Linked DNA regions of Rhinolophus ferrumequinum. The protein of the gene in region 3 binds, or shares a complex with, the protein of the main gene of each other region. Links are inferred from orthologs where the notes say so. Each region holds a gene or a part of one and is shown on either strand. Other genes may lie near its edges. The genes, in order: THOC3, THOC6, THOC1 and THOC5.

Evidence for each region.
Region 1: THOC1 (region 3) and THOC3 share a complex: the UniProt entries of both Homo sapiens proteins name them as parts of the transcription/export (TREX) complex. The link is inferred for Rhinolophus ferrumequinum from reciprocal best matches to the Homo sapiens genes THOC1 and THOC3.
Region 2: the proteins of THOC1 (region 3) and THOC6 are in contact, whole or in part, in a cryo-EM structure (PDB 7APK), measured with the Homo sapiens proteins. The link is inferred for Rhinolophus ferrumequinum from reciprocal best matches to the Homo sapiens genes THOC1 and THOC6. Residues at the interface, in NP_005122.2 of Homo sapiens: Ser227, Pro229, Ile230, Asp231, Tyr232, Leu234, Arg236, Val270, Ser273, Tyr274, Asp309, Leu312; in NP_001334633.1 of Homo sapiens: Leu57, Ser58, Ser59, Glu60, Pro312, Glu313, Lys315, Thr330, Asn331, Gly333, Tyr334, Ala336.
Region 4: the proteins of THOC1 (region 3) and THOC5 are in contact, whole or in part, in a cryo-EM structure (PDB 7APK), measured with the Homo sapiens proteins. The link is inferred for Rhinolophus ferrumequinum from reciprocal best matches to the Homo sapiens genes THOC1 and THOC5. Residues at the interface, in NP_005122.2 of Homo sapiens: Glu60, Arg145, Arg146, Leu147, Ser148, Ser150, Gln151, Lys285, Met286, Leu289, Val296, Tyr297, Phe298, Leu302, Ser304, Leu307, Leu310, Gln311, Ser313, Asp314; in NP_001002877.1 of Homo sapiens: Tyr52, Arg113, Lys120, Asp124, His127, Leu128, Gln131, Asn132, Leu134, Tyr135, Glu136, Met138, His139, Thr145, Lys146, Glu149.

The regions. Positions count from the first base shown.
Region 1 is NC_046307.1:40,249,237-40,256,192, reverse strand, and holds the start of THOC3 (THO complex subunit 3), read left to right. Parts: upstream 1-3,912; 5' UTR 3,913-4,007; coding exon 4,008-4,274; intron 4,275-4,965; coding exon 4,966-5,122; intron 5,123-6,470; coding exon 6,471-6,675; intron 6,676-6,956. UniProt on the Homo sapiens protein: Component of the THO subcomplex of the TREX complex which is thought to couple mRNA transcription, processing and nuclear export, and which specifically associates with spliced mRNA and not with unspliced pre-mRNA.
Region 2 is NW_022680357.1:4,524,643-4,532,591, reverse strand, and holds the start of THOC6 (THO complex subunit 6 homolog), read right to left. Parts: upstream 3,040-7,949; 5' UTR 2,947-3,039; coding exon 2,908-2,946; intron 1,935-2,907; coding exon 1,819-1,934; intron 1,714-1,818; coding exon 1,649-1,713; intron 1,559-1,648; coding exon 1,455-1,558; intron 1,367-1,454; coding exon 1,329-1,366; intron 1,246-1,328; coding exon 1,197-1,245; intron 1,090-1,196; coding exon 1,018-1,089; intron 929-1,017; coding exon 826-928; intron 743-825; coding exon 693-742; intron 605-692; coding exon 542-604; intron 445-541; coding exon 334-444; intron 250-333; coding exon 115-249; intron 18-114; coding exon 1-17. Other genes in the region: HCFC1R1 (host cell factor C1 regulator 1), read left to right, coding at 3,350-3,444, 3,743-3,799, 3,886-4,014, 4,247-4,382; TNFRSF12A (tumor necrosis factor receptor superfamily member 12A), read right to left, coding at 5,413-5,468, 5,579-5,713, 5,944-6,048, 6,769-6,862. UniProt on the Homo sapiens protein: Component of the THO subcomplex of the TREX complex which is thought to couple mRNA transcription, processing and nuclear export, and which specifically associates with spliced mRNA and not with unspliced pre-mRNA.
Region 3 is NC_046302.1:16,794,407-16,801,394, reverse strand, and holds the start of THOC1 (THO complex subunit 1), read right to left. Parts: upstream 3,060-6,988; 5' UTR 2,897-3,059; coding exon 2,843-2,896; intron 770-2,842; coding exon 696-769; intron 602-695; coding exon 541-601; intron 1-540. UniProt on the Homo sapiens protein: Component of the THO subcomplex of the TREX complex which is thought to couple mRNA transcription, processing and nuclear export, and which specifically associates with spliced mRNA and not with unspliced pre-mRNA.
Region 4 is NC_046308.1:18,919,286-18,927,021, forward strand, and holds the start of THOC5 (THO complex subunit 5 homolog), read right to left. Parts: upstream 3,045-7,736; 5' UTR 2,907-3,044; intron 2,901-2,906; exon of another isoform or gene 2,250-2,900; intron 2,213-2,249; 5' UTR 2,096-2,212; exon of another isoform or gene 2,092-2,095; intron 1,678-2,091; exon of another isoform or gene 1,544-1,677; intron 1,145-1,543; exon of another isoform or gene 1,110-1,144; 5' UTR 1,109-1,109; coding exon 1,013-1,108; intron 1-1,012. UniProt on the Homo sapiens protein: Component of the THO subcomplex of the TREX complex which is thought to couple mRNA transcription, processing and nuclear export, and which specifically associates with spliced mRNA and not with unspliced pre-mRNA.

The DNA.
Region 1 (6,956 bases), on a different chromosome or scaffold from region 3:
GGAAATTGTGATCATAAGCTAGCACAAATTTCAGGGTAATTATCTAAAGCAGGGAACGGGGCAGGGAACATTTCAAGCTCAAACCACAAGGAGGGGTATTTTCAATTGTTAAGCTCTAGGGCAAGGAGAGGCGAGGTCTCTTTTGTGGGGGTCCCAAGCGTAGATAACATCTTTTAAAATGTGTATACATTTTTTTGGCATGCCTGGTATAAATAAATACATATATAAAATTTATATGAAAGATTGTGAATTTGGCATGTGTTTTTACAAAGGTGCGATCATAGACTACATATATTCCTCAGTTACTATATACTTTCTTGCTTAGTTCATCAGGGCAACCCACCAGGTTTGTAACTACAGATACAACTTGATTTTTTAATAGCAACAGAGTTATCCGTAATATTGATATACACATTTATTCACTCTTCCTCCACTGATGGACATTCAAGTTGTTTTCAAGATTTTTGTCATTAGAAACAATGCCATCGTACAGATTCTCATAGATTCATCCTTAGATTATCAGGACTAGGGTCACTATATCAAGGGATATGTATGTTTTTTGTTTTTAATGTATAAGGCCACGTTACTTATTTTAAAAAGCTGTGTGTGGACCTCATTTGGATCTTGATTCAAACAAACTATAAAAAGAAGTATGACATTTATAAGACAATTGGAAATTTGAACACTGACTAGATATTTCATTACATTAAGGAATTTTTGTTATTTTTAAGATGTGATAATGGTAGAGATACATACTGAAATATTTATGAAAGAAATAATTTGCTTCAGAGAACTTTCTTGGAATAATCCAGCACAATCCAAATCCTGTGAGAAGCTTCCCCTTTGAGTCCTCTTGCTGAGGCCTGTACAACTCCTCTGGAGAACTTTCCTTTCTCCCTTACTGCAGCAAGGTGCATAAACCGAACTTTTCAAATACGGATGTGTTCCTGGAGGCCTTTGGTTGGTGGACTTGGAAGCAATCTTTTCAAAGTTTATTGTCCATTTGGATTTCCTCTTCCTTGGGACATTTTCCCAGTTCAGTGGGGCGTTCTGACATTTTCTCTTTTGTCTGAGAGTTGTCCCATTGTTTGCCTACCCCATTCTTCTCTAGGAGCCATATGTACTACTTCTTAGAAGAGGTCAAAGTTAAGGATTCTCGTTCAGGTTGGATCACCCTAGGTTTGATGGCATTAGCAAGAATTTTCAGGATCTTTTCCGCTCACCAGTAAGGCTACTGGGTGGTGAGGTTGAAGGTAGGAACTGAGCTAATTTGGATCTCTCTGTTTGCTCCAGACAAATCTGGTTATTTTCTTGGGCACCTGTCTAGTTTGGCTGATGTTCATGATGTGTGTGAGTGCGTGCGTGCGTGTGTGTGTGTGTGTGTAACATTTATTGCTCATCTCATTAGGTATTAAAGGAGAAAAGTCATCATCTTAACTCAGAAGTCTGATATTTATATTAGATTTTGTTTTATATATTTAGAAGCTCTGATATGAGACAAAATTTCAGTAACTCTTAATCGTTCTTTTATTGATATGAAATATCACTATTTGTCCATTTTAGTGCTTTTCATCTTGAATTCTACTGTTTGTTACATTAATATTGTAACATACATAACACAGTCTTTTGTTTGGTGTGCTGGGAAAATATTTTGATCTTTAAACCCGTGTGTTTTTACTCACTATGTAACCCTTTCTCAATTCAGATGACTAGACTGTGAGTCATTCTTTGCCTTAGAGGAGATCATCGCAATGGAACCAGAATACAAAAGAAGCAAATTCTTGGTTTGTGAATGTCAGAGCTGTAGCTCAGGTGTAAGACATTCTCAGCCAGTTTCTTCACCCTCAGAGGAGAGAAGCATCAAGTCACATTCTGTTTGCCCTGTTCTATTTCCTTAGGTGTTACTTCTCTCTTTTGTAATGTGTGGGGTTTCTCATTTCTGATGTTAGAATTTTCCTCAAACATTTTGTTATTCTTGGGTTGGGTGTTTTCACTTAATTTTTGAAGTTTCCTCGTTAGCCCACATGTGAGTGCTGGATTGGTTTATGGCATTTCATTGCCAGTGATTTCAGGAAAGTGCTTTGCTGCTGGATGGGCGGGGGGTGGTATGTTAGTGTCTAGTCTTCTGGAAATGGGGACAACCACAGTACATGTCATCTACTAGTTTGCTTCTCTGGTTGAATCCTGACTGACACACCACCTATATGTTGAGGCTTTGCCAAGGGTGATTTCTTTAGCACCAATAGCTTCTCCAAAGTCTCCCACCATCAAAGGACTTATATGTCAAATCCCCCTCCTTCCTTATCTACTCTTCCTTCACTGTGGGATGTCTCCCTCACCCCCTGAAAATTCCCTCACACATCCTGTTATTTCTGACATTATTATTTATGACCTGATTCTGCTGTGAGTGATCCTAAAGGTCCTAAGACTGCCATATGTAAAAACATCCTTCAGAGTTGCAGCAAAAATCAGCTCCTGCAACGTGGTAGGCGGGACTATAAAAATGGACTATAATGGGAGGGAAAACTAGACACCAAACAGTCTCCTACCCCAAGAATTTAGTGACTTCATTGGTATTCTGTGGAGTCTAAAAGGCTTTGAAGTCTCTAAGAATTTCTGGGTGTAGTGCGGTAGGGAAGAGAATTGGGAAAAGAAAAGGGGCTCATTTCCTTAGGCCCTTTGTGGAGCTATGCACGTGCTTTATATGTGGACTCATTTAGTATTTAGGACCTCATGACACTCCCCTAAGCTTCTGGTGGAAATGCAGATTGTTAGAACCTCTTCACAGGTTTGGCAATGTTCAAATAAAAAAGCGCATATGTGCACGATAAAGTTTGTATAGGGACATTCACTGCAGTATTGTTCTACAAGCAAATTCACGGGCACCAAATGTCCCTGAAGGGGACCAGTTGAATAATCAGTTGAATATGGATGTATAAATGATCATTAAAGACTCCATCCATTAAGAATGAGACTTCTGCATATACTGAGAAGAAATAATTTCTTACATGCATTTATCATAGAAAGCAAGCTATGTAAGGGACGCTACCGAACCATTTTTTTTTTTGTGGGGGGAAGGGTATGAACACACTGGTATACCACTTCCACTATCTCTGGAAGTGCACAAAATAATTTGACAATATTTTTCTCAAAGGGAATTTGGGGACACACGAGGGAGGGAAACTTACTTTTCACTCTATTCTTTTTTGTGCGTTTTACACTTGTTACCAAGTGTATGCGTCCTTAAATATTTTTTTAAACTTTTTGAGATAATCGCAAATTCACAAAAGATTTGCTTTTAAACAAATTTCCAGCCTCCTCCTCACCATCCAAAATCTCCCTCAGCCCACAGCCCTTCTCTAGCTGACAGCTCTCCATTGGTTTCTTCAGCTGGACGCTGCTGGACCTGTGGTTTAAGGTAGGGATGTGAATAAGGCCATTTACCTTTTTACTCTGTATCTTTCATATTTTTTGCATATATAATCATGTACCTATAGTATCTTTTAAAAGCAAAGAACTTGCTTATTTAAAAAAACCTCCGGACCCCTTCTCACACCCTGCTCCCCCCAACCCCCTAGCCTTTTACTTGGGACAAGCTCACCAGCTGGCCCTTCTCCAGCAAGAAGTCAAGGGCGTTGTGCTTTGAGGGCGACTGAGGGGTGGGCAGCAACCCTAGAAAAAAGTATTCTGCTGATGGGGAACTGAGGTTTAGAAGGATAGCGTTTGTTTCCGTCTTCGATCACGCAGGGACACAAATATAGCTACCAAGCAATAGGTAAAGGTTAACTATGAAGCAAATTTAAAGCCGAATCACTACTGTTCAAAAAAAGCAAAGGACGCAGCGCGCTGCATGCCGGGATTGGTGTTCCCTTTCCAGGTGGGCCATACTGCGGCTGCGCAGAAGAGCGACAGCTCTTCCGAGCGCATGCGTGCGGCGGCAGCGGCGGCGGCGGCAAGAGTGACTGCCGTGGGGTGGTGGCGCCCGCGCGGGCTCCAGGGGGCTCGGCATGGCGGTGCCCGCGGCGGCTATGGGGCCCTCGGCGCTGGGCCAGAGCGGTCCCGGCTCCTTGGCCCCCTGGTGCTCAGTGAGCAGCAGCCCGACGCGCTACGTGCTCGGGATGCAGGAGCTGTTTCGGGGCCACAGCAAGACGCGCGAGTTCCCGGCGCACAGCGCCAAGGTGCACTCGGTGGCCTGGAGCTGCGACGGGCGCCGCCTGGCCTCGGGGTCCTTCGACAAGACGGCCAGCGTCTTCTTGCTGGAGAAGGACCGGTTGGTGAGCTTTCAGGGCCTGGCCCAGGCCAGGGAGGGGGGGCTCTGGTGCAGCGGTGAGGCGAGAATGGCGGGGAGGGGAGGGGAGGGGAGGGGAGGGGAGGGGGGGGGGGGCGGAACGTGGGGGTGTCGGGATGAACGGGGTGTGGTGGAGAGGAGGAGGGGGTCGGTAAGGGGAAAGGGGGGATGTGTCGGGGGTGCAGTAGGAAGGCGTGAGGATGAGGGGGTGGAGGCGAGAGGGTTCCCACTGGTGGGGAGGAGGCTGAATGGGGCCGGGGTGCGTGGGGGTGGGAGGGGTCGGCAGGAAGGCTGCTGGTGGCTGGCGAGGCACCGTGTCCTGATGGGGGCGCTGTCGGGGTGACGAGGGCCCCTTTGACTCCGATGGGGCCTCCGGTGGGAATGAGCAGGGGCGTTCCTTGGTAGCGAGTCAAGGTGGAAAACCAGAGAGGAGGAGGAAGGCAGGGAGGGCAAAGAGGAAGGCGCGATGTGGCACCTAGTCTCAGTCAATGGAGAGCGATGGGGAGGGAGGAGGATATTGGGGAGAGTTTTGGGGAAGAGGCTTGGCAGGACTGGGCTTTTTAAAACTCTCCAAAGTTTTGTTGGTCTCCAGATACCTTGGTTTGAATAAAGTGAAGAAGTTTCACGTGGAGGCAGGTACATATGTGTGAAGGGACATCCGAACTCTGTTCTTTCAGGTTAAAGAAAACAATTATCGGGGACACGGGGATAGTGTGGACCAGCTTTGTTGGCATCCAAGTAATCCTGACCTCTTCGTCACTGCATCTGGAGACAAAACCATTCGCATCTGGGACGTGAGGACTACCAAATGCATTGCTACTGTGAACACAAAAGGTGACTTCAGAGGGAGGGCAGTAGGAAGATAAGCGACTTTCATGTATTCAACATTTTCCAAATAACTTTTCTGTGCCTGGCCTTGTGCTACGCATGGGACATCCTGAGCTGAAAAGACGGCACAGTTCAATGCTGGGAGAGACATATGCATAAAAAAAAAAAAAAGGCAACTAACCTAATCTGACATGGCTCATTGTATAATGGAAATGTCTACGAGGTGAATACCCAGAATGGAAGTGCTTAAGTCTTCCCTGGGGGAGACAGGGAAGGCCTCACAGAATTTGAGCAAACTCTTACAGTAGACAGAGGAATTTGGTGGTGGAGGTATGGTGGGAGGGTGGGGCAGCTCTAAGGAGGGAAGAGTGTGTGCAGAGGCGTGGAGAATTTGGAAAACTGCTGGTCAGCTAGAATGGCTGAAGCTTGGATGGTCCTGGTGGTCTGGGAGAAAATGACCTGAAAGTTGCGCGGGTTATTTATAGACTGTTCTTCATCAGATATGGTCCTGGAAACCTTGAGGTCATTTATTATATTATATTGTCTAAGATGTCATTGATTATAAGATGCACCAGTATTTTTAAGTGCAATTAGGAATGAAAAGAAAGCTTCCAAATAACCATGTATACCAAACATTCTGAGATGCATTTGATGCATTTTAAGATGCATTATAGATAATAAAATGTGAAAAAATATACATCTTAGAATCAGATAAGTTGGTGACATTTTTACTGGATGTGTTCAGTGTGGGCCACTGGACTTTGTTGACAAGACTTGTACCTGTAGGTGGAATGAAGCAGTGCTTTCCCCACGTATACAGTGGGTGATACATGAGTGATTTCGGTGGTATGTGGATGAACATTAAAAAATGGTTTTGTGTATGTTTTAATGTCTGTTAGAAAAAAAGAACCAGCTCATAGAATTTATTGCTAATGAAAGCTGAGTTTTCTGAGCCAATTTTTAAAAAGCTCTTCAATAAAGAAAAACATAGTTGTTACATGGATAGGACAAAATTTGTGAAAGTGGCATGTGAACGACCGGAGTTTGGGAAATGCTAGTGTTAAGAGAATAAATTTATGTTTAGCTCTTGGCTCTATTACTTCACAGCTTTGACAGTTTGGCTCATTGTTCTTATCTTCCGTTTCTTCACCTGTAAACTGGGGATAGTAAAGTGACAGTAGAATATTGTGAGGACCTCATGGGGAAATTTGCAGGTGAATGGCGGTTGCCTTCCCTGGACTACGATCTGAACGAAGGCGCTCTGGCGAGCTCTCTGGTCTTCCTTCAGGATAACATAAACTTCTGGAGGATTAGGGGCAAACAGGTCATTTTACTGATTCACCCGGTTTCCTAGGGGAGAACATTAATATCTGCTGGAGTCCCGACGGGCAGACCATTGCCGTGGGCAACAAGGATGACGTGGTGACCTTTATTGATGCCAAGACACACCGTTCCAAAGCGGAGGAGCAGTTCAAGTTTGAGGTCAATGAAATCTCCTGGAACAACGACAATAACATGTTTTTCCTGACAAATGGCAACGGTTGTATCAACATCCTCAGGTGAGGGGGTCCTCGCTTAGGGGACGGTCATATCTTTAACAGCTGGGTGTTCTGGTGGATACAGAGTGAATTAGATGTGAATCTGTCCTGAAAGCGTAAAGGACAAATGGTGACAAAGGATCCTGACCTCTGTTGAGCGCCTTTGAGTCAGGCACCTTACGTTTTCCTGGGTCCTCACAGAAATTCTAGGGGTGGATGGTGTGCTTTCCATTGGGTAGGTGAGGATCTGGGATTCACAGAAGTGGAGTCACTAGTCAGCTGGTGGGCACTAGCGCTGGATG
Region 2 (7,949 bases), on a different chromosome or scaffold from region 3:
CCTGCAGCTGTCAGCACCTGGAGGCAAGGGTGTGTGTGTGTGTATGTGTGTGAGACTGACCTGTCCACACACCCCTGGCCTCCCAGGACTCCCACAGCTCCGCGCAGGACCCACCTTGCACTCAGGTGCTGCTGGCTGCTGGTTGAGGCTAAGGCTGAGCAGCCCTGGGGAGGAGCCAGGCACCTGCGCCTTAAGCTCCCCACTCAGCTGCCACTGGTTGACGCACGGGCCCTGGCCGGCTGACAGAATCTGTGGAAGGCAGGGAGGGGATTGAGGGGTCAGCGCTGGAGAGGGGAGCTAGGCAGGGGTGGCAAAATGGAGACAGAGACTCACCAGGTCCTGGTAGAAGGTGACGTGCTTCTGTGGTGCCCGCATGGGGAAGATGGTGGTGGGTGTAGAGGAACGGAGGTGCCAGAGGGTGAGTGCTGGGCCCCCTCCACAAACCTGGGCAGAAAGGTGGGGTCCCCAGCCTCCTAAGCCACAGGCCCTCAGCTGGTAGGGCCTGCAGCTGCCACCCCATCCTGCACTTTGCCTGGCTCACCATCCAGTCTGAGTCAGTTGCCAAACATCCAATCCAGCGCCCATTGTGGGGCCTCGAGCACTCCTGAGAGGGAGGAGGGGAAGAGCAGAGGAGGTGAAGATGCAGAAGATGCCCAGGGAGAAGGCAGGACAGGCATGGGACATGCCCTCACCTCGTGCTTGTAGACCTCGATCGTCTGGACCTCCTTGGCCGAGCGGAGATCTGTGGGGGAAGAACCATGAGAGGCAGCCTACTTCCCCCAGCCTCCCTCACCACCATCTTTCCCTCTAACCAGAGTCCCTTACCCCAAAGCCGCACAGCCCCGTCCTCGCCACCTGACAGCACCTCGGGGCTCCGCTCCCGCAGTGCCAGGCAGTGGATATAGTCTGTGTGGCCTCGGAGAGCCCTCTGCAGGAGAGGAACAGTGTCAGGACAAGATCCAGAAAGAAGGCCTTCCCCCACCCCACCGTGACTGCCCAGCTCCACAGCCCTCTTACCGTGAAGCTCCCTGTCTCAAGGTCCATCATATGCAACTGGCAGTCTCCCCCTGCCAGGATAAGCGCATTCTCCTGCAGAGGAAGACAGAGTGGGGTCAAATCAGGACAGGGACAGGGAAGGATCACAGCTTGGGCCAAGAACAGGGCAGGGTAGAGACTTAGTTACAAAGGGTTCAGACCTTGGGGATGAGAAGCAAAGCATTGATTTCTGGTACTTCCAGGCTGGTCCTGGGGGAGGGAAAGCAGGGTCAGCTCTGGTGAGGCAGCACCTCCACCCCCACGTGCCCTCTGTCCACATGGCCCTGGCTCACCTGTATGGGGGCTGACGATGCCACAGCTCCTTGCAGCCCTTCATGGAGGAAAACAACGAGTGACCTCAGAGGTTCTCTTTGGAGTTGGATGCCCCAGTACCCCTCCTCCAGCTCGACACTTCTTACCTTCTTGAGGATCTCTGCCCACAGCCAGGCCTTCACCTCCCCATCCCCAGCGCTGAACATATGTCGATCAGTGGAGACCATGCAGTAGACCGGCCCATCGTGGGCTAAATGGAAATGCAGAACCTGAGCGACCCCGTCCTGCTCTCCTCCTCTACCCTGGGGTCCTCTAAGCCAGACTCAATGGCTGCACCCACCTTGGAAGGTCACTGCGGGCTTTTTACTTTCCTCTTTGGCCTCGGAGCTCAAAGCAGCAGACAAGCTGAAAGGAGAGGGGAAGAGGGTCTGAGTCAGAAACAGGGGACATCAGTCCTGGGAGAGCCAAATGCCAGAGCTAATGGGTTGTGGGGAGCAGAGGTGAGGGTACCTGAAGATGGCTATCTGCCCATAATTGTTGCCAGCTGCCAGGAACTTCCCACAGGGTGAGACACTCTGGGAGAAAATAGTCATGTGCAGCCGCTGTAGGGCCTGAAACACTTCCATCTGTGGGGAGAGACTAGATGAAGGCAGTCTGGGACCTCTGCTTCACAGAGTCCTTCCTAGTTTCCGTGCCGCCAGTTCAGCCACTGCCCAGACTTCTCCACCCTCCTCTGAGGTCCACCAAGGTGGGCACCTGCCCATACAGTCCCGGGGCTGGCTCGAAGAAAAGGTAAGGAAGAGGGGAGTTGAGGCGTGATGCCTAGTAGGACTTTGAGCAAGCACCCTGTGGGGACAGAGCCAGGAGTACAGTTTCCAGGCTCTCGCCCTCACATGGAAAGGTGCTCACTCGGGTAGTAAATGGCCATCAACTGTGACTGGATGGCCATCAGCTATGGCTAGTTGGCCGTCAGCTGTAACCAGTGAGCCATTGGCCACTAATATAACTGCCGTGGCTATGCTAGCAGTAAATGTGGGCTAGCAAGAAGATGGTGGCTGAGCTAGCAAGCGCAGATTACAGTTGGCACGGCGAATTGCAGTTAGTAGGGCAGATTGCAGCCAGCAATTGTGGTTGGTTGGTTGGCAGAGAGAGAGAGAGAAGCGGACAGCAGGTTGCAGATCGTGTGGATCCTGTTTCCTGTGTCTCCAACCCATTCGCCAGCGAGACTATGGTAGTATGACTCCCCTATCTATGGCTCCGTGGGTGTTCCTTTTTGGCCTCACCATGTCCTGCGTTCTTATGAGGGGAGGGGGACCAGAGACCCCGCATGACACCCTGCATAACACACCCAACCTCTCCTCAAAGTTCCCTCAACTGTCAAATGAAGCTCACAGGACATTCTGTCATGACTGGATGAACTACTGTATATAAAGAGCTTCACACAGTGATGCCTCCTACAAAACGCATAAACAGTGGCTCTATTACCCCAATACAGAAAAACATATTGCCTTCTAATTACTACTCTCTGACTTTCACGTTAGGCCCCTGTGGGGCATGGACCACAAACCCCAGAAGGCACCGCGCACACGCCGGTCTCACCTGACCCAGCGGCACCGCGTGGGGCAGAGCTCGCTCCATCTGCAGAACTACAAGTCCCAGACTGCTCCGCACGCAACGCAAACTCACGAGTCCGGACGTGCCCCAAAGCGGCTCACCGTCACTGAGCTTCACCCGGTCAATACCGCCAGCCGGCTCGGCGCGAAGGCGGCCGCCGCGTACCACCAGAGTCCCAAGAGCCGCAGTGACCGCCGTGAAAATCTCCGACACCAAGTGGCTCCCACCGCAGCCCCGCTACTCCAGATCCCCTCCCCCACCCGGCGAATGGGCCCGCCTTCCAGCCGCTCGCCGTCCGTCTTTCGCGCCTGCGTGAATCTTGCTGCTGCGCGCGCCTAAAGCCACGCCTCCCGCGTTGGGCCACGCCCTCGGAGGCTCCGCCTGTCGTCCGGATCCCACCCCTCCGCCCGCAGGACCCCGAACCCCAATGATCCTTCAGCAGCCTCTGGAGCGAGGCCCCCCAGGTCGGGCCCAGCGTGACCCGCGGGTCGCCTTGGGGGCGCCTCGAGGCCTGGACGCGAGGTGTGTGTGTGGGCCCTGGGTGGGCCTGGCCCAGGGGCGCTGGAGCTTTGGCTTGGGGCTCAGGGCTGGTCTGCAGGATGACGCGATGGGGCGAATCAGCAGAGTTTGGGCATGAGCTGAGACGAGTTTGGAGACTAACGAGGCAAGCTGCTGAATGGCCCGGGAGAGTGGGGGTGATTTAAGTGTCAACTGAGAGGGATTGGGTGGGGGTTCCTGGCTGACGTTGCAGGCTCAGGCCGGCAGATCTTAGGGTTGGGGTCAAGAGGGTGGGGTGCACCTGGTTCTTTTTTCTTCCCAGCCCCCCTCTCCAAGGAGCTGTGCCCATGAGCACCAAACGGCGCCTGGAGAAGGAGCAGTGAGTTTAGGGGCAGGGAGGGACTCCCAACAAGACCTGTCACCTCAGGTCCCCATCAGCCTGCCTGCCTCCCGGTCTCTCCCTAGGGAGCCCCTGCGCAAGCAGTTCCTGTCTGAGGAGAACATGGCCACTCACTTCTCTCGACTCAGCCTGCATAATGACCACCCTTACTGCAGCCCCCCTATGGTTTTCCCCCCAGCTCTTCCCCCACTCAGGTAGGCACCATTCACTAGCTACCCGCTAGGCCCTCTGGAGAATCACGCCCTATCAGAGCCAACCTCCAGGGCCTGCCTCATCCTGCTATTTTTAGTTTCTAGCCAACCTCTGTTCTCATCTTGGCTCCTTAGAAGGCGCCTGCAGCCCAGTAGCCCCTGGGGACCTGAACCTGGTGGTGGGTGGCTCTGCCAGGCCAGCCTCAACCCTGTGCCCTGTCATTTCCTTTTCCAGGAGCCCTTGCTCTGAGCTCCTTCTCTGGCGATACCCTGGAAACCTGATCCCTGAGGCTCTACGGATGCTGAGGCTGGGGGACACCCCTGCCCCCCACTATCCTGCAACCCCAGCTGGGGATGTAATGGAGCTCTGAATTCTGGCAGACAGTACCCCTGCCCACCCTCCTTCTCTCCAGTAGGGGAGACCAACACCCCCATGAAGGGACCAGCTGCCCTGCTTTTCCTCCAGACCAGGCCTCTGGGCACCAGAACCTTCCCCCAAAAGAGGATACTGAGCCCAACAGAACCCTGGGGTGGGAGGGCCAACAGCATGGGAATGGAGGCATGCCCCCCCCCCCCAGAACTGAATAAAGATTGCTGAACAGAGGAAGTCTTCAGTCTGGAACCTAGGGCCTTTGGGAAGAGGGGGCAGAGCTGGGGCACTGGATAGTGGGGTTTCTCCTCAAGATCTTCCCTGGAAAACGGTCAGGGCCTAGCCAGGTCCTGGCAGTCGAGGCTCAGACATTGAGAATGTGTGAGTCAGAGCCTCGCCCCCGCCCCCGCGGCTGACTCACTCCTCCCTCCAGCTCTGGGAAGTCAGGCTGGGGATCATGCCACTCTTCGAACCATTTAAAGTTAAAGATTCTTTTATTAATAAATTCTCCCCCCTCCAACCTTTCTCCCCAAAATAAATATCTCCCCCCCTTTGAGGGTTGGGGGGGCAGTGTCTTAGGGCCAGCCCCCCTAGAGGGCCAGCCCCCTAGTGTTAGGAACAGGTCCCTAACCCCCCAGGCTGAGACCCCAGTGCTGGAATTTCAGCTCATCTGAGTGGGTAGGGCCTGGTGTTGTGTCTGTCTGTCAGGTCAGACTGGCTGCCAGGCCATGGGAGGGGGGACCCTTGTGCAAATGTAGCAGTTCCTTAGTGTCAGCTGTCTGGTGTGAGCCAGCCTAGGTCTCATTTTCTGTCCTGGAGCCAGAGGCAGGGCAGTCAGACACCTTGAATGAAGGCTCCTCTAAAGTCTGGGTCCAGGCCTCAGAAGTGATTCACCCGTCCCTCATCCCTGCCCACCCCTGTGGTTGGAGCAGCCTGGCTCAGGGCTGTGTCTGGGAGGCAGGGTCTGGCTCCAGAATGAATGAATGAATGATGAGTGGGCGTGGCCTCCTGCTGGCAGGGGATGCTCATTGTTACTGGATCAGAGCCACACCGGGACAGCCCTCCCCGCCGGTCTCCTCTATGGGGGCTGCAAGATAAGAAGAGGGGTCGTCAAGAACAGGGAGGACGGTGGGGACTGATGGGGTGGGGGGGTGGGGGCACGCGGGCAGGCAGGCAGGAGAGCCAGGGCACACTTACTGGTAAACTTCTCTCTCCTGCGGCACCGTCTCCAGACCAGGAAGCCGGAAAGGAGTCCCAGCACAAGGGCCAGGCTCAGGGCTCCCCCCAAGATGGGCCACAACAGCTGGAAGGTGGCTGGAGGGGCCGCAGCGCCTGGGGATAGGACTCGAAGTCAGACCTCGCTCCTCTCTGAACCAGCCCCACTCCCTAGATCTGAGCCACGAGTCCCCCCCTACCAAGACCTCTACCCAGATTGGAGGCCCTCACTCCCGCCCCCCTCCACATTAATTCCCCCGATCTGAAGTCCCCTACTCCCCTCTACCCCAGCAACTCTCTCCCCCAGTCTGGGGGTCCTCTCGCCTCTGGCTCCGCCCCCCACTCACAGCCCAGGCAGAAGTCGCTGTGCGGTCGCGCCGGGCACGACGCGCAGTCCATGCACTTGTCGAGGTCTGCACTCCAGGAGCTGCCGCGAGAGCAGGGGGTGGTGCCTGAGGAGGGGGCCACGGGTCAGAAGCTGGGGGCGGGGCGTGACTATTCTGGGGGCTGAGGTCAGGGTCGGCAGGCTCGAATAACGTGAGTCACCGGCGCCCTCCTCCCGCATTCCTCACAGGTGACCGCACGGCCCGACCGGGACACGGCTGCGCGGGGAGTGGGGGGAGAAGGGGGGGCGTAGCGCGGGAGGTCAGGTCCCCACAAACCCGCCCGCCGCTGGCGGGTGACTCATTCCTGGGCATCGGGCCCGACCCCGGTCCCTCCCCCCGCATAGCTGGGCACTGAAGTCACCGGATGGAAGGGGGCACCCCACATGTGATGGGGGCACAGACCCCCGTGCCTCTCGACACCCCCTCCCGACTCTTCGGTCACTGGGGCTGGGCACACCCGGTATTGACCAGGATGGGGGCATGTCCCCTCACCGGACGAGACATCCCGCCCTCAAACTTTCTCCACTTCCGAGTCCAGACTTTAAAGACAGAGAGGTTCCCCGAGTTGGACAGGCGGGAAATTGAAGCCCTGACGGGATGAAGCTCGGAGCGAGATGGGACCTCCCCTGACCAGGGAGTGCGTTGTCTGGAGACCTGACCCCGGATCCCATGTCCCCCTAGTTCTGCCCTCTCCGCTAAGCCCCCAAGTCGACTCCCCGATTCCCGGCCGAGGGTTCCCCGGCCCCCACGCCCTCCTGCCCAGTCCCTGCTCGTCGCCCGGCGTACCTGGCACCCGCTCCCCCGCCACAGCGCACAGCAGCGCCAGCCCGAGCCACAGCACCAGGAGCCGCAGCAACGGGCGCTGGAGGCCAGGAGCCATCGTTAGCGTCCCGCGGGCGCTGCCTTCTGCTACCGCCGCTGGCCTCGGAGACCTACAGCCCCAGCCCCGCCCCCGCCCCCGCCTTCCGGGGCAGACCCCTCGTCTGGGCCCGCCCAGCGGCCCGCCCCTGGGCGTCCCGCCCCGCCTGGCCCGCTAAGTTCAATCGTTCGCTCTGCAAACACCGTCCTTGTGCGCGATCTTCTAGGACGCAGTCCTGGCTGCCCTCTCGGTGCTCAGGTCCGGGAGGTGTGTGTATGTCTGCGTGAGTGTGTGGGTGGGTGGATCAGACACGAAACCACCCACTGACCCATTGCAGACATAACTGCCGCTCTCTTAAGAGCCCCGGGGTATAATAATAAACGTAACACAATGATGTTTAATTTCTACCTTAGGACATAGTTACCTAGTAAAATGCGGGCTTGTTGTCTCCATTTTGCAGAGTATGAAACTGAGGCTCGGGAAGGTTAGGTTAATTCCCGAGGTCACAGCAGTAGGACTAGTAAGTGGCGGAGCGGAGACCCAAGCTCCACGCCCTGCGCCTAGACTTACCGCGGGCCCCGACGCCAGCCACTGATGTCCTCGCACCCGGGCCAGCTGCAGACCCTGCAGCCCCAATCTCGAGCGCCCCCGACTGACAAAGTTGGGATTCGCGCTCCCGCGGTGGTCTGGAATGGGGTCTCTGCCCCTCCCCGGGGCGGTGGTCCAGTGACGTCACTGCCTCTTTAAGACCCTGCCTCCGCCCCATCCCCGCACTCCGCCGTCTCTTAGGAATCTCCGCGGACTCCTTCCTTCGCAGGTGAGCCTGGGGCCAGTGTGCGTGTCGGGGTGAGGGAGGAGATGGGTGCCTCCAGGAGCGGGGTGCTGGGGGTGTGGCCTGCTGGAGAACTTGGACTGATCTGGCTACCGCCACCCGGCCGACCAACCCTCGGGCGCGGGGCTGCACGGAAGCCGACGAGCAGATCGAGTCCTGCGACTCGAGAAGGGTTAAATGCTCCTCCTTCCCTCCCCTGGGACAAAGGCACCGAAACCTGGGCTCCCCTCCCCCACCTGAGCTGCTCTCTGGGGCGGGCGCCCCTCCCCCTCACCT
Region 3 (6,988 bases):
TTCGGGTGCCCGACCAATGGTAAATCGATTTTTCACGTTTGATTAAATTTCTCTACTGAAGTTGGATAGGCTCTATTTATTTTTTTTAAATGCTGATGAGAAGGATGCATACTGTAAAAAATGATAGCATGGAATCCTAGTTTCCATGTTGAATGTCCCTGGACTAGATCTTTTGTGCAACTACAGAATGTGTCACTGTCTATATAATAAAGCGAGAGGGCCCATTTTCAAATTCTAGTTCTTGCCCAGGAACACCTCACATCAACTTGGAAAAGGTATGAGTTCTTATACTCTTCACTTGGAGAGGGTTCTCTTCATCTAGTAAAACAAAGTCTTCTAATGATTTAGCATCCGTGCTGTCAAAATCCTTAATTATTACATAACTTCTATACTATGATATAGTCAGCTTTCGCAAAGTAGCAAGCTCATGCTAGAAAATCATATTTAAACACTCATTCTAAGAATAAAAGCAATTTAAAAAAATAACAGAATTTATTAATTTGCCAGCAACATTTTAACAATAAAGGAAAACATACTTACAATTTCTTCTTCTAGAACACCTCTGAAAGCTTGGTCAAGGGTACATTTTTTTTCATTTTCACTATTGAAAACAAAAGACAAGCTCCATTTTTTAAACAGCTCAGGGTAAGTATAAAGATTCAGGCAAGCATGTTTCATGGATACTAATGCCTTACCTGCCAGGTAACTGGGTGAAGGTATTCAACAATGGTTTGATATTTTTGTTGTTCAAGGCCTCTCTGGTAGACTTCTAGAAAAATAAATATAGCAAGTAAGTGGAAAGATTTTTGCTTATTAATTACTGAAAAACATATAACTCATTAAATCTAAAAATGTTTATAACCGGGAAAAATTATCCATCAGTCATTCTATCGGTAGTTTTTATTCAAATGCCACTTACTGACATATAGACTCTCATCATGTTAAACCTGGAAAGAATTTCCTAGCTAGACTTTCTCATTCCAATTTTTCCCTCCTACCATCTCTTTAAATATCATAGTCATGAGAGTATTCTGCTTTTAAAAAAAAGTCTCCAAATGGCTCCTCATTTACAGACGTTGGTTTTGAAGTCTGATAGCTCCTTCTCAAGGTCCTTGAGAAGGTTATCCCACTCAATCTATCCAACCTTATTACCCACTACCCTCTAACACATACTCTCCACTAAGGTCAAGCCATTTTTTCCCTATTTTTCTATCAAGTACACTCTAGTGTATTTACACATTCATGTTGTTCTTCCCACCTGCTTATGCAAATTTTATCCATTCTTCAGGACTCATCTCAAGTCAGACTTCCTTGAGTGAGATAGCTTAGCTTGTTCAGCATAGTCCCTCACACATAGTAAACTGAACAAATACCTGCCGATTGTCTTAGTCATAATTGAAAGACAAAAATACTGAAAAGTCAATTCATTCTGTGAAAATTCACATATGATTCGAACAGTCATCTTATTACCTCACAGGAGTTAGATGGAAATGTCCATTCCTGACTCTGCCAAAAATAGGCTGTGTCAATCTGGGCAAACCCCTTAATGCTTCATTTTCCTCACCAGTTAAATAAAGGGTTGTTGTAGATCCTTACTACCAGTAGCAGCAGTGGAATTACCTGGGAACTTGACAGAAACGCAAAATCTCACATCCCATTCCAAGCCTACTGAATCAGAATTTACATTCAACAAGATCTCCAGGTGATCCACCACACACTGAAGCTGGAGAAGCAGCAGACTAGATGATCTCCAATTAAATGGCCCTTTCCAGGATTAATGTGATCTTGGATTGTCCTAACAATTACTCTTAGAATTTCAAAGCACCAGTATTACAGCAAAATGCCCAGAAAGAAAATCATTCTGATAACATAAACTAGATATAATCTGGTATTAGAAAAACAAACTCAATATTCTATGAGGAAAAAAATAACCTGCACACAAAAAACTACTTACTACAAAGAATCAATTTTCTTTCACAGAATTTTCATTCTGGCATCACTATAACTATGTAGGCAGTTAAATATGTGAGTAGCTGAATGATGACTTGAAACATTGGCACAAATGCTAAAGACAAATAACAGTCAAATAACTTAGAACAGGGGTTCTTTGTGCTGGGTGCTGTATGGGTAACAAAAAAAGAATACTGGCTTTGAAGTCAGAAAAAAAACAGTTTAGTAAATCACTTAACTTTTCAGGGGCGTGTGTCTCATTTCTTTCTCATCTACGAGGGGATAATAAAACCTAGCCTACTTCACAATGCTAAGACTTAAACATGAAAACGCTCTGTAAGGTGTTTCTCAAATGCTAAAGCTACTCTTCTCCAATATGTAGGAATAAATGACATCTGACAACCCTTTTCAAACTGCTCTGTTTGTCTTTTCCCACTTAGGATCTCTTAGGAGTGAGACACTGAGGGTTACAGGTACGGTGAATAGGCAGCCGGAACAAACCACCTGGCAACTAGGAGGCGGGGCGGGAGCCAGTCCTCTGGGCTAAAACCACTCCCGCCCTCCTCTTTCCCCAGCTCGCTTCCAGTTCTGGAGACACCTGCCCGGCTAAGCGAGCGCTGCAGAGGAGCTGGACCGGACGAGAGAGAGTCTGAAGATGAGCCCTTCATGCCGGCGACCAGAACGCGGAATGGAGGAGGCGGACCGCAGAGGATGCGCGGATGAGGCAGGTACAGCGTCTTTTCCACCTCCCAACCCCCGAAGCGGCCGGGAGCCAACGCTGCGGCTTACGCACCTCTGTCTCCGCTTTACCTCAGAGCAAAAGTCCAGTAATTAGAGAGGAGGGCAAAGAGAAGCGCCGGGTCAGGCTTGCACCCTCCCGCTTTCTGCTCACCGTAAACCGCGTCCGCGCTTCGGGTAAACTGAAGAGTGGCGGTGTCGGAGACATCTTGGCTGCGCGTGCCCGCCACCGCGCTGCGGCGCAGGCCGATGACGTCAAGCCGGGAGCAAAGAGATTACCGGCTGCGTACGCTGCTGGAGCGGCGTGTGAGCAAAGGGGAGGGGCGGCTGGCAATTAGGAGCTTCTGTGGAGGTCAGGTGGGCGTTGGAAGCCAGAGTCAACCACACAATGCCCTGTCCCGGTTCGTGGGTAACCTTTGGGGTGACGGCATAAGGGCGGGGCCGCGCCCTGTGAGCTCTGCGCTGCAGGGCGGGAAATAGGTCCTGACGCGCACCGCCGTGGTTTTCCGGGTTTGGGGAAGCCCTAGGTAGCTTAACGGGCGATGCGGGAAGGTAACCGCTGCCCGAGAATCCAGGACAAGGAGGTTATCTAGGAAAGCACCAGGCTGGGGAAGTGTTGGCAGTGGCGGTGGGTCGCGGACCGCGGTCATGCTCCAGGAAGGAGTAGTCTCAGCTCCCGATTTCTGTATCAGCTCTGTAGTTCATAGGCCTTGTAGCAGCAGTAGTTCACCCTTCTGTGAAATAGAATCAGTACTTTCGTATTTTGCCGTGTGCTCCTGTGTATAATGTGCACCCACGTTTTTGGCCCAAACTTTCAGGGAAAAAAAATCTTTCGTTTACATTTTTTAATTCAAATTGTTATTTGTTCACATTTAGGTACTTGTTTTTTGTATTATAAAGGAATTTTAGCATTTATATTTTTAACATTATGGTATAAGAAATTTTATGTAACAAATAATTACAAAAAATAAGAACAGATACAAGGTACGAGAAATTTTATGTACCGGTAACAAATTTACCATATTTATGTATCACAGAAGGCCAAGAACTCTTGGTCGTTGCAAGTTCATCTTAAGTTCAACAAAACTGATTATCGTATTCCAGGGTATTATTTTGCATATGGATATCGTTATTGATTTCTAGAGTTACAACACTTCCAACTCATAAGCATAAATGAATTAAAAACATATAGATACGGAATTAGTACTACCCATGTATATTGCACGTCCTTATTTTTACCTCACAAATTTTTGGGGAAAAGTGCACATTATACACGGCAAAATATGGTATATCTGTCACAGTGCTGTTGGAAAGCGTGAATGAAATAAATGCAAGTGTGGCATACGTAGCCATATAAGACTTATTGTTATATCTTGGAATTGTTAACTTGGTGGCCATATATAGGTCTCTACAGAAGGAGAAAGACCTTGGAGGAATGCAGTGTTTGGCGCTGATAGTAAAATGGGTGGCACTGCCTCCAGGGTAGAGGCACCCCTGGCAAAATCCTGCGTCCTCGGCAGTTTCCTCCCTTGTCTCCTTTCACTGGAGAGGCTTGGCCGATGAAAAGCCAAGTAGAAGTAACTTTCTTAGTTGGAATGATGCTGTGGGGAAGGAAGTTATGCATTGACCCAAACACAAACTTCCTGCCAACTCTTCTTCGTTTCCACGTGTAACCTAATGATGAAAGCTAGGTGTGCTTTACCTTGTTCCCTTCATTGACATTCAAAGAGAATGTAGGAAGCCAACAAAAAGATAACTTTGCATAGTGTTGCCTGTAAGTGGGAATTGTGAACAGTGATGGCTGGAGCACTGTTGTCTTTTTTTAGAATCAACAGAATCATTCAGGTTTGATGGTATAACAAGTCTCAAAATTGGCAAATTAAACTGGTATTAACTGATTTAACAGGTAGCTGATTAATAGGATTATTATATTACAGAAGATTATTAACTATCAAGAACACAACTAAGAACCAAGAAAGAAATGCAGTTATTTTTTACAAAACACCAATCATAAGAAGAGCTGGACTCATCCATCAAAGCCCAGTGACTTAGAATTCTCTTTATTCAGCAAAAAAGTCAGCAAACATTTGTTGAGTACATTATACACAATACACAGTATCTGTTGAAAGAATGATATATGAACAAATGAACAAAATAGTGAAGCCTAATTCCTATTTTGAGAAACTTTTAGTTTGGTTGACATAAAAGAAACAAACAATTACAGTGTACATACAATTTCTATTATAAATACTTTCGATTATAACTGCTGTAAGAGATTAAAGGAGAAAGCAATTGCTACCATATGAGGTGATCATAGAGCCCTCAAGGAGAAGATAGAATATGAGCTGGACCCAGAAGGATTCCAATAGACAGGAATGGGAAGGGATGAAAAGGAAAGATATTCCCAATGGAGAGACTGGTATTAGCAGAAGTGTGGAAGGGAGAAAGCATAGTGAAAGATAACTGTTTTACTGTAACATTGGATTCTGAACAGAAATAAGGCTGAACAGTCAAGTTGGAACCAGATTGTATTAATGTTTGAGGCCAAAGAATGTTTAAAAATGGCTTTTACACTTCCTGCCAAGTTATAGCTGGCAGTATATTTGGGAGGAAGGAGAGAAATGAACTGCTTTGCTGCTGAGTGCTGAAACACCAGATAAAGAAACAGTAGGAAAAAAAGTAACAATCTTCAGAGAATAATGAGGTGTTACTGTTTAATGGGTACAGATTTCAGATTGGGATGATGAAAAAGTGCTGGAGATGGATAGTGTTGATGGTTGCAAAACAACGTGAATGTACTTAGTACCACTGAATTGTACACTTAAAGATAGTTAAAAATGGGTAAAATACTAAATTTATCCATCAAAAATCACTACAGTAAAAACATTTTAACATGTAGATCACTTTAATTAATACTTTATAATCCCCAAAGCACTTAACATTTAGTACCTCATTTGCTCCTCTAAGTGATATTTGAAGGTGGGTAATACAACTGTTATGCCATTTTACACATAAGGAAGCAAACTCAAAGAGATGGGGTTCTTGATAAAAGTAATTGGCAAAATGAGACTACCCGGGATTTCGATTCCAAATATTGTACTCTTTACACTGTTATACTGTTGTAAGTAATGCTTACGTTTTATTGAGCACCTTCTATGAGCCAGACGCTTTTCTTGTATTACTTCTACTCCTTAGAACAACATTATACATAGTTATTTATCAGTGAGGAAACAGGCTCATCTGTCACATGACTAGAAGCTTGTTTGAGATTTGAGCCTGGCTTTAATCCCAAAGCCTGTATTTTTCTCAGGTCTTAACTCTTGATTCTTTACTAACCCATGGGGTTAGTTATTGTTTCAAAAATTATTGCCTTGCTGTTGGCTAAGAGTGAGGATCATACTGTCATCAATAACACATTATGAGTTTTTTAAAAGAATGTAATAATAACACTCAAAAGGTGACATCCCGTAACATGTTACCTTTTCACTTAGATTTATTGTGCACTTGTTTTTCCTCTTATGCTAGTGAGGTAAGATGGACCTGCCTCTCTGTTAGGAAATACTCTCCATGGGAAATTCTAGGCTGGGTGATTTAGATAATTTCTAAGTATTCAGCTCTTTATTCCTCTTCTTTTCCTTGGTGTGATCTTAGTTGGATTCAAGTTACCATTGAAGTGGTTAGATCTAGGAGAAAAGGACCAAGGGGGCAGCTTAGTCTGCTTTTGTTCTAGTCTTTATCCTCTAGTCCTGGCAAAAGGAAACTTTTGGCTCCACGCTCACTAGTCAACCACATTAGGATGTTAGATTGCAGTTTCTGCTGGTTCCGGTTCTGGGCCTTAGCCATCTTTCCCTTTCTTTCTCTCTGTAATTTGAGTGGATTGAAAGAATAATATTGACAGGGAATGGATGTTTCAGTGGCAAAGATGAGCAAAAAGAATGAGACATCATTGTTGGGAAAGGAATGGAATTGGGAAGAAGAATAGTAGAAGAGGGATGGCACTTTGTGAATATTGTTGTGGAAAAAGAGGAATTACAGCACCCATAAAAACTAGGGGTGCTGTATTTTTGCCACAGTGGTGGCAACTTTCAAGCATTTTGTATTAGTGTATTATTCATTCATCACATATTTATTGAGTGCCTGTTATCTGCCAGTCACAAGTACAATATTGGATTATATATGCAGTATGATTATTTTATTAAATCGTTAAGTACTGTGTATATAATTATCTAGTATACCTGGTAAAATCTTGTTTGGTGAGCTTGGTTGGACCACACAGATGAGCATAATTCAAGGTGAGAAA
Region 4 (7,736 bases), on a different chromosome or scaffold from region 3:
ACTTTCCCATCACAATAAATATAGCTCTCTATCAAAATGGCTGCATGACAGATAGCCTGTTAAATAAACCAGAATTAATTTAACCGAAATTGGGTGTTTAGATGGTCAAATCAAGCTTCAACAGAGACTGAAATATTATTACTCTCCTAGCGTTTGGAGTAAACAGAACATCTCTTTAATACAGTCAACTAGTTAATAATACTGTATTGCATATTTGAAAGCTACTAAGAGACTAGATCTTAAAAGTTCTCATTACAAGAAATTTTTTTGTAACTATGTATGGTGATGGGTGCTAACTAGACTTATTGCAATCATTTTGCAATATATCAAATAGTGAATCATTTTATTGTGCACCTGAAACTAACATAATGTTATGCCAATTACACCTCAATTAAAAAAGAGTCAGAATCATTGCCCCCAAAAGGATGAGGCCCTTCATTAATCTTGATTTCGTAAATCTGAGGCAAGTATCATTTCCTACTTAAATTTTAGCCCATATATTTCTCTATTCTAGTATTAAAAACAAACAAAAAATATAACCCATCAAATAATTAAATAGTTAAGTCATAAATGAGCTCGACAGATTCAAGGATAAAGAAATAGCAAAGGAGAAGAACCTACTGAGTACAGGAGCCCTCAGGCCGCAGAAGAGGGTTTGCGGGCATGTGGTTCTGGCACTGTCTCAGTAGCAGACAGCGATGCCAAAGCTCCAGTGGCATGCTGCAGATGGACTGCCTTCTTCTGACCACCAGGAACATTGGAGACACACACCATACTAGCATGAATTCTCTGTTCAGGCACTAATCACGTATATAGGCTTGTTGGTTCTCGGGATGCTGCAGCTAAACTTGATGTGGCTACTTTGTAGAGCCAAGTGAATTCTGGGCACCCGGTTAAGCAGAGGCCACCTTGGAGGCTGTCCCTGTGACCCTCAGCTGCTGTAAACCCACAGCCAGGTGCTTGGCCACAAGCTGCAATTTCTCAGCAGCACGGCAGCCCCGGCTGATCTCACCTGCTCAGTGTCAGAACGACTACGCTTCCCTTCCGATGGAGCTCCATCACTTCGGATCACTTTGGGCTTCCGTTTTTTGCTCGATTCTGATGACATGCTTGTTTAGTGAGGTCAGGCAGAAACAACAGAAACCTGTTAAGGAGATATCTTTCGATATTTTCCAGAGTTGGAACTGGAAATTTTCCTGAAGTCAGAATACTTGTGTCTAACTTTCAGTTCTTGCCATTTACACCCTTGGTAACTCAAGAAAAGTAGCTCAACGCTCCAAAGGCTCAGTTCAATCCCTCAGGCTATCCAAAGTGACCTCATCTTCTCAACCTCCACCTCCTTTAGAAGAACCACCTCACGGACCAAACTATTCAGATGCCATGTAAGCCCATTGCCAATACTATTGATAGATAACTGTGCTGGACCTTGATCTAAGCATTTTATGGGTATGTTCTCATTTGATCCTTTTAACAAACCTTTTAGATAAGAACAAGTACCATTTTATAGATGAGAACACTGAGATCAGAAAGGTGAATGACTTGCCCAAGGTCAAACAGCTAGTATGCTAAAGCTTGGGTCCATCGAATGCCACATCAGCGCTCTTGAGAACCACATTATTGTGCTTCCTAGTCTTGCCACTATGTCATCTGGCAATGCCATCAACTCCCTGGTTGACCCTAAAATTTAAAAGAACATTTCATGAAGCTTTGGGTCATAAAGCATCCTCCTTCCACTACCTCTCCTGGTTGTCACCATAGCCCCACTATTCCCCTTACCCCAATGAATCCTGTCACCAACAATTATTGAGGAGGCCAATAGCTCATTGTAGTGGAGTCAGAGAAGCCCTGAGTTGGAATCTCCACTCTCCTAGTTTATGGCCATCAGTCCCGGGACAAGTCAAGTCACTTCCCTTTTCTCTGGGTCTGTTTTCTCACAGATCAATTAAGAATAACAGTTCCTGGGGTGGCCCCTTAGATCAGTTGGTTAGAGCGTGGTGCTAATAACACCAAGGCTGCCAGTTAGATCCCCGCATGGACCCCTGTGAGCTGCACCTTCCTTAAAAAAATAAAATAATAAATAACAGTTCCTACCTACCTCAGGGGTTGTTATGGACATTAACACAGGAATGTCCTCCACTGGGAAAGGTGATGAAGATGATTTGGGAGCGGGGCTTTAGATGGTACATGGATGATCTTACATAATGTTGAACACCTGAGGAGAAAGTTAATCCCTTTTCAATTACTTTTAGAAACTTCAGATTGCTTCAAGGAGACTGTCTCATCTCCCTAGTTTACCTTTAACATCTATGAACACCAATATTCCTTTGTTAACAAAAGGACTGTCTCAGAGCTGTAGACTGAAATCGGGCCCGAATCATTAACAATGATCTGTTTTATTAAACATATTGATTTTTGTCACTACCTTCTGCATATGGCAAGTGAAAGAAATTTTATATTTACGGCAGAGACTTCAATTTTTCTTTTGAAGTAAATTCAAATTTTAAAAGTGACTCGATTAAAAACCTTTAGTAAACAGTCCTACATGGTTGGTTGATATGGCCAAACCCACAAAGGTGAAAGCCGAAAGGCTTAAACGTGGGAAATCCCGACTTTGGCAACACAGTAAAGAGTGCCTGGCATACCTAAGCGCACAATGAATGTCAACTGTTATCACCATTACCATCATCGTCGCGTCGCCATCATCTAGAGGCTACAACGTGGGCCTGACGATGTTGCAGCTACCGCGACATTTTCCACAGAAGGAAACGGCCTGGAACCCCGGGGTTGGTTCTCCGAGGACGGAGAACCCTGGTTGGACTCCAGCCCAAAGACGCCTTCCGCGCTGTCCACACCTCAATCCCAGAGCCCCCCTGCCCGCCCCGCCGCGGTCCCGATCCCTTCCTCACCCCACGGCGCCCGAAACCAGTCCAGGAGAACGAGCCACTTCCCAGGGCGGAGAGACTGTGAGCCGCGCACCATAGAGAAACGGAAGGAAGGAGCGGCCGGCCGGAAGCGAGGCGCGGAGGCCGGAAGCGAAGCGCAAAGCCCGCAGTCAGCGTGCAGTGCAGGCAGCGGCTTGGTGACGTGGGAGCAAGGAGGCCGCGGCACCTGGGTTTTAGGGGAGGGTCCCAACTGCCAACACCCTCGTACTGCCCTCTAAAACCAAGAAACTGAGACTTCAAGGACAAAGATTCTTATGTGCCTTGTTCACTTTTTCCCCAGCGCCTAAAGTAATGCCCAGCAGCTAGTACATGTTTTGTCGTTATTTGTTGTTTGACTAAAGCCCAACGTAACACAAGAGTGTGGTAGTGCCAAGATTTGGACCCTTGTGGATTTGCTTCCATACCTGGAATTTTCTTTTTTGGGTGGCAGGAGGTTTCTAATTTTGATGCTTATTTTGCTAGTTTAACTCGTTTGCTACTAGACAATATAACCTGGATTCTTAAACCATACACATTCATCCTAACATTTCCCACTGGTAAGGGTAGCACGTCAGGGAGGGCATTAACTCCTTAACACTTTTTCCCCCACAGGTGCATCACTAGTTTACCACTTTACGTCCGATTTGCCCAGGGCAGAGTCACAACTCTAATGCAGCATTTGACAGCTTCAGTGTTTTCTATCCCTGGTAGAATTGTGCATACAGGGAGGGTTCAGGACTTACGGTGTAAATCCTACTTATCTGGAGGTGGAAACACTTGGTATTGAATCCCTGGTTATACAGGACAGTTCCTTCTGCCATGATGGGAGGCCCTCCCCATAGTACCCTGGGCAGTGAGGGGTAAACTAGCCAGTTCAAACTGGGAAGCTGGCCCTGCCTTGGGCACCTGCCAAAGTTCCTTGCAGATGAAGAAAAAACAACGATGGTTTATAGTAAACATTTAATTGTTTCCATCAGGAACTCCAGCACAAGTTTTCCTGAAAGGGAGGCAGAATCAAGTTACCCAGAGGTTCATGAAGTATGGGGGTCACGGAGGAGGCTTCCAAAGTCACTGACCCCACTTCACACACCCAGTAGCCCGGCAGAATGAGGGTTGGATGGATAGAATGTGAAGAGGGAGAAAAGGGATGCAGGGGGAGGGAAATATAGGCCCTGGCCCATACCCTTGCCTGAAAGAAGGAAAAGGGAGGACAGGAGACGCTTTGTACAGGGCTGGAACTACATATTCAAGTTTCCAGCCTCATTATGTAGAAACAGGTGAGCCTCTCTGTCTTGTATTAGGAGCCCCTCCCCAAGTGGTCTTTTGTCACCTCTGTTCTATCGTCCCTATTATGTATTCCAAGTTCTGCAGTTCAAACCCTAGTTCTGAATCCTAAGTTCTACTTTCTGGGTTCCTAGTTCTGGGTTCTTGTTCCTGTTCCATTTTGTTTCCTGCCCCCAGATTCCTTCCATCTCCCTTTCCCCAGCCTTTCTGGGTGGAATATATGGACCTCCTGCTGACTTTGCTAACTTGAAGGCTTCCCTCTTTATATCTTGAAGCAATTCTAGGCTTTTCCGCAGCAAGAGGGACATGGTTTAGACTGTCCAGCAAGTATGTGGCCCAGTGGAGACCAAGCAATGCCTGAGCACCTGGCCTGCTTTGACCTCTTCCCTTCCCACCCAAGCTCTAATCCCTGGACACACTACCTTTTGTGCAACTAAAGCTAAACTGAGGGATTCTGTGGTGCTAACTGGGGACTGACTGGTGGCCTTGAGATGAGGAATCTTAAGGAAGATGTGAGAAGACATAAAAGGTTGTTGTTCTTCATTCAAAGGAATTAAAAACTGCTTCCCGCCCAGGGGAAGGAGTGCTGGGGAATGTGGGAACTGTCTGGGCAGAGCTGCAAATCCTCAGAACCCTGTCATCCTTCAGCTCCCCCTTTTCTGAGCTGAACACTAGCCCCCCGAGTCCTCCCAAATCCGAGAGAAAACAAGGCAGCTGGCCTGGGAGCTCCTCTGTCCATGGCTGCCCTGAGGGAGAAGGGGAAAGAGGTGGAGCCAACAGCAGCATCACTGGAGAGGTGAGATCTTCAAAGGAATCATGATCCGAGACTCCATGTGTCGCACCAACGGGACTGTGGAGAGAGGCAGAGGTCACGGATGAGGCTGAGGCGAGCCAACTCCCGAAACTGGCTTTTGAAGGGGGAAGAGGCCTGAGATGCTGAGACAGGAAAAGCCCCAATGCCCTCCTAAATGGCCCATGGAGAGTACCAGGTCTTCCAAACTGAAAGGAGAGGGGACTTAGGTGGTGATAAAATGCAACACTTAGAAAATTTTCATAATTATCTATTTTCCTGTATATGTGAAGAAAAAAAAACCTAGCATAATAAAAAGTGATTTCAGATACTACTGCTCATGACAAAGCTAGTTAGAGAGTCAAGTAGGGGGACTTAAAGAAAATAACTGTGGCAGTCGTATACGGGTAGAACAAAAGCTGTCAGCGGGTCCTCAAGTGGCTGAGGTATGAAACAAGCAGATTTAGTCCAACTGCCTCATTTTACAGATGGGGAGCCTTCAGCCCAGAGCCGGTCAACCCAAGGTCACCCAGGAGGTCAGACTGTTCCCTCCTGCTCAGAGCTATTCAAACTTTATTGTGCATGCAAGTGATTAATACTTATAGTTCTTGTTAAAGCACAGATTCTAATTCAGTGGGCGGAGGAAGGGCTTGAGATTCAGCATTTCTACACTTGATCTTAGCCAAAAGGCCGAGAAGCGATAGAGATTCAGCATTTCTAAAGGTCCCAGGGATGCTGACACTACCATCATTTGGGACCACACTTTGAAGAGCCTCCGGTAAACTTCAGGAGACGCATTCTCCCCTACACCAGTTAAGTGTGGCAGCCCAGATGTAAGCTCCTTAAGGGCAGGCATAGGCTCCTGTTCATGCTGGGCCCCCCAGCCACCTGTCCACCATAGTCCCTGGCACACAGTGAGGGCTCAGTCAACACCTGCTGACTCCAGCTGGTTCTCAGGGGGCCCAGCAAAGTGGCAAACGCTGTAAGCAAAAGAACTGGCTCGAAAAAATTTGCTGTATGCTTCCTTTGTGTCAGTCTGGGCGAAGTTCAGCACTTTTCACAAATTAGCTCCTGGAATCCTTCCTCCAGCCATCCAAGGCAGGCACTCTCGCCATCTTACAGATAAGGAAACAGCCTCTGTGAGGTGAACCAAGCCTGAGGTCACAGTGCTCGCTCACTACCCTGCTTCTCTGAGGCAGGGACCTCCCGGTGGTGTTGTCATCCCCCACAGCACTCACTTAGGGACTCTGGATCATGTGGCGTGTGCCACCCCGATAGAAACCCACTAACTCATTTTATTAAAAGAAAGTTCCTCATCACTAAAGGTAATCAAGTGAGGCTAGCTCTCCTTGCAGAGGAGATTCCAACCTCAGTTAGGGCTCCTGCAGATGACCTCCAAGGGCCTCACGAAGCCCCCAGAGGTGCTTGCTCACCGGTGTAGTAGACATTTTCATCCCAGCCCCTCTTCCTCCAGGCAGCATTTCTAGTTTCCTCCCGAGACTGCAGATCTTTATAGGCTGTAGGAAAGGCATTGTTTCATTCTTTGGGCAGAGGATCTGACCCTGGACCCAGCACAGGGCCCCCCTCCCACGGCCCTTCTCCCTGTCCTGCTGTCTCTTCCTCCACAATGCCTTGGACTGTTAGCAAACACTGTCTGCCTTGACAATCTCATTCGATCAGTACATTTGTTTACAACTCCCAAATTTATATTTCCAGCCAGAAATCTCCCTCAGGCTCCATACTCATGTATCTGGTGCCAACTAAACATCTCCACCAGGGTATGTCAGCATCACAAATATAACACTTTTGAGGGTCAAAATTACACTCTTAAACCCTCCAACCTACTCCTCTTAGGGTCTCAGTAAGCGACATACAGCTGCTCAAACAGGAGTCTGGGAGTCCTGGAGTCCTCTTCTTGCCCCACACAGACAGTTCATGCAGAAGTCCCATTGATTCCACCTCCGAACTAATTAATTTGTGGACTTTTCAGCAATTTCATTGCCACCACCTTAGGCTAGGCCACTACCTCTCCTGCCTGAAGTAGTGTAACCGTCTCTTGATGCCCCAGTGCCTCTCTGCAAAATACTTCCCTGCAAAATGCTCTCAGCAAAGCACATGGCAGCCAGAGAAGTCATATTAGAACATACTATAGGTCATGTCATGCTGCTTAAAATGCTGCAGCAGCCTCCCATTGCACTTAGAATAAATCCCACCTCGTCCCCATAGCCTGCAAGGCCCAGCCTGACCTCACACTCTTCCCCACTCTTTCCACACAGGGCTCGTTTGCACTCCTCAAAACCCTGAAGGCCTTTCCCCATTGCAGGGCCTTTGCACGTGTTGTTCCCTCCATGCAAAGGCCCTTGGAATGCCCTTCCCTAGCAATTCACAGCTGGTTCTTTCTCATTCTTTAGCTGGGCTTACATTTTTACCTCCTCAGAGAGGCCTTCTTTGTCTATTCTAGCCAATGCAGGTTCCCATGCTTTTCTTCATCATCATCATCATCTCTCTCTCTCTCTCTCTTATTTGTAATAATCTGAAATTATCTTTTTTGTCAGCTTACGTCTGAGGTGCTGTGTCCCTCTGCTAGAATATAAGCTGCACAAGGGCACTAATGTATTTGCATTGTCTATGCAGAGTGACAATGGAGAAAGGGGACCAGCAGAGGGCTCCTGAAGGGTCCCCAGCCTACCCCAGAGATGGTGCACAACGTAGAGCTCCCCTATCTGCGAGAAGAAGCCGCC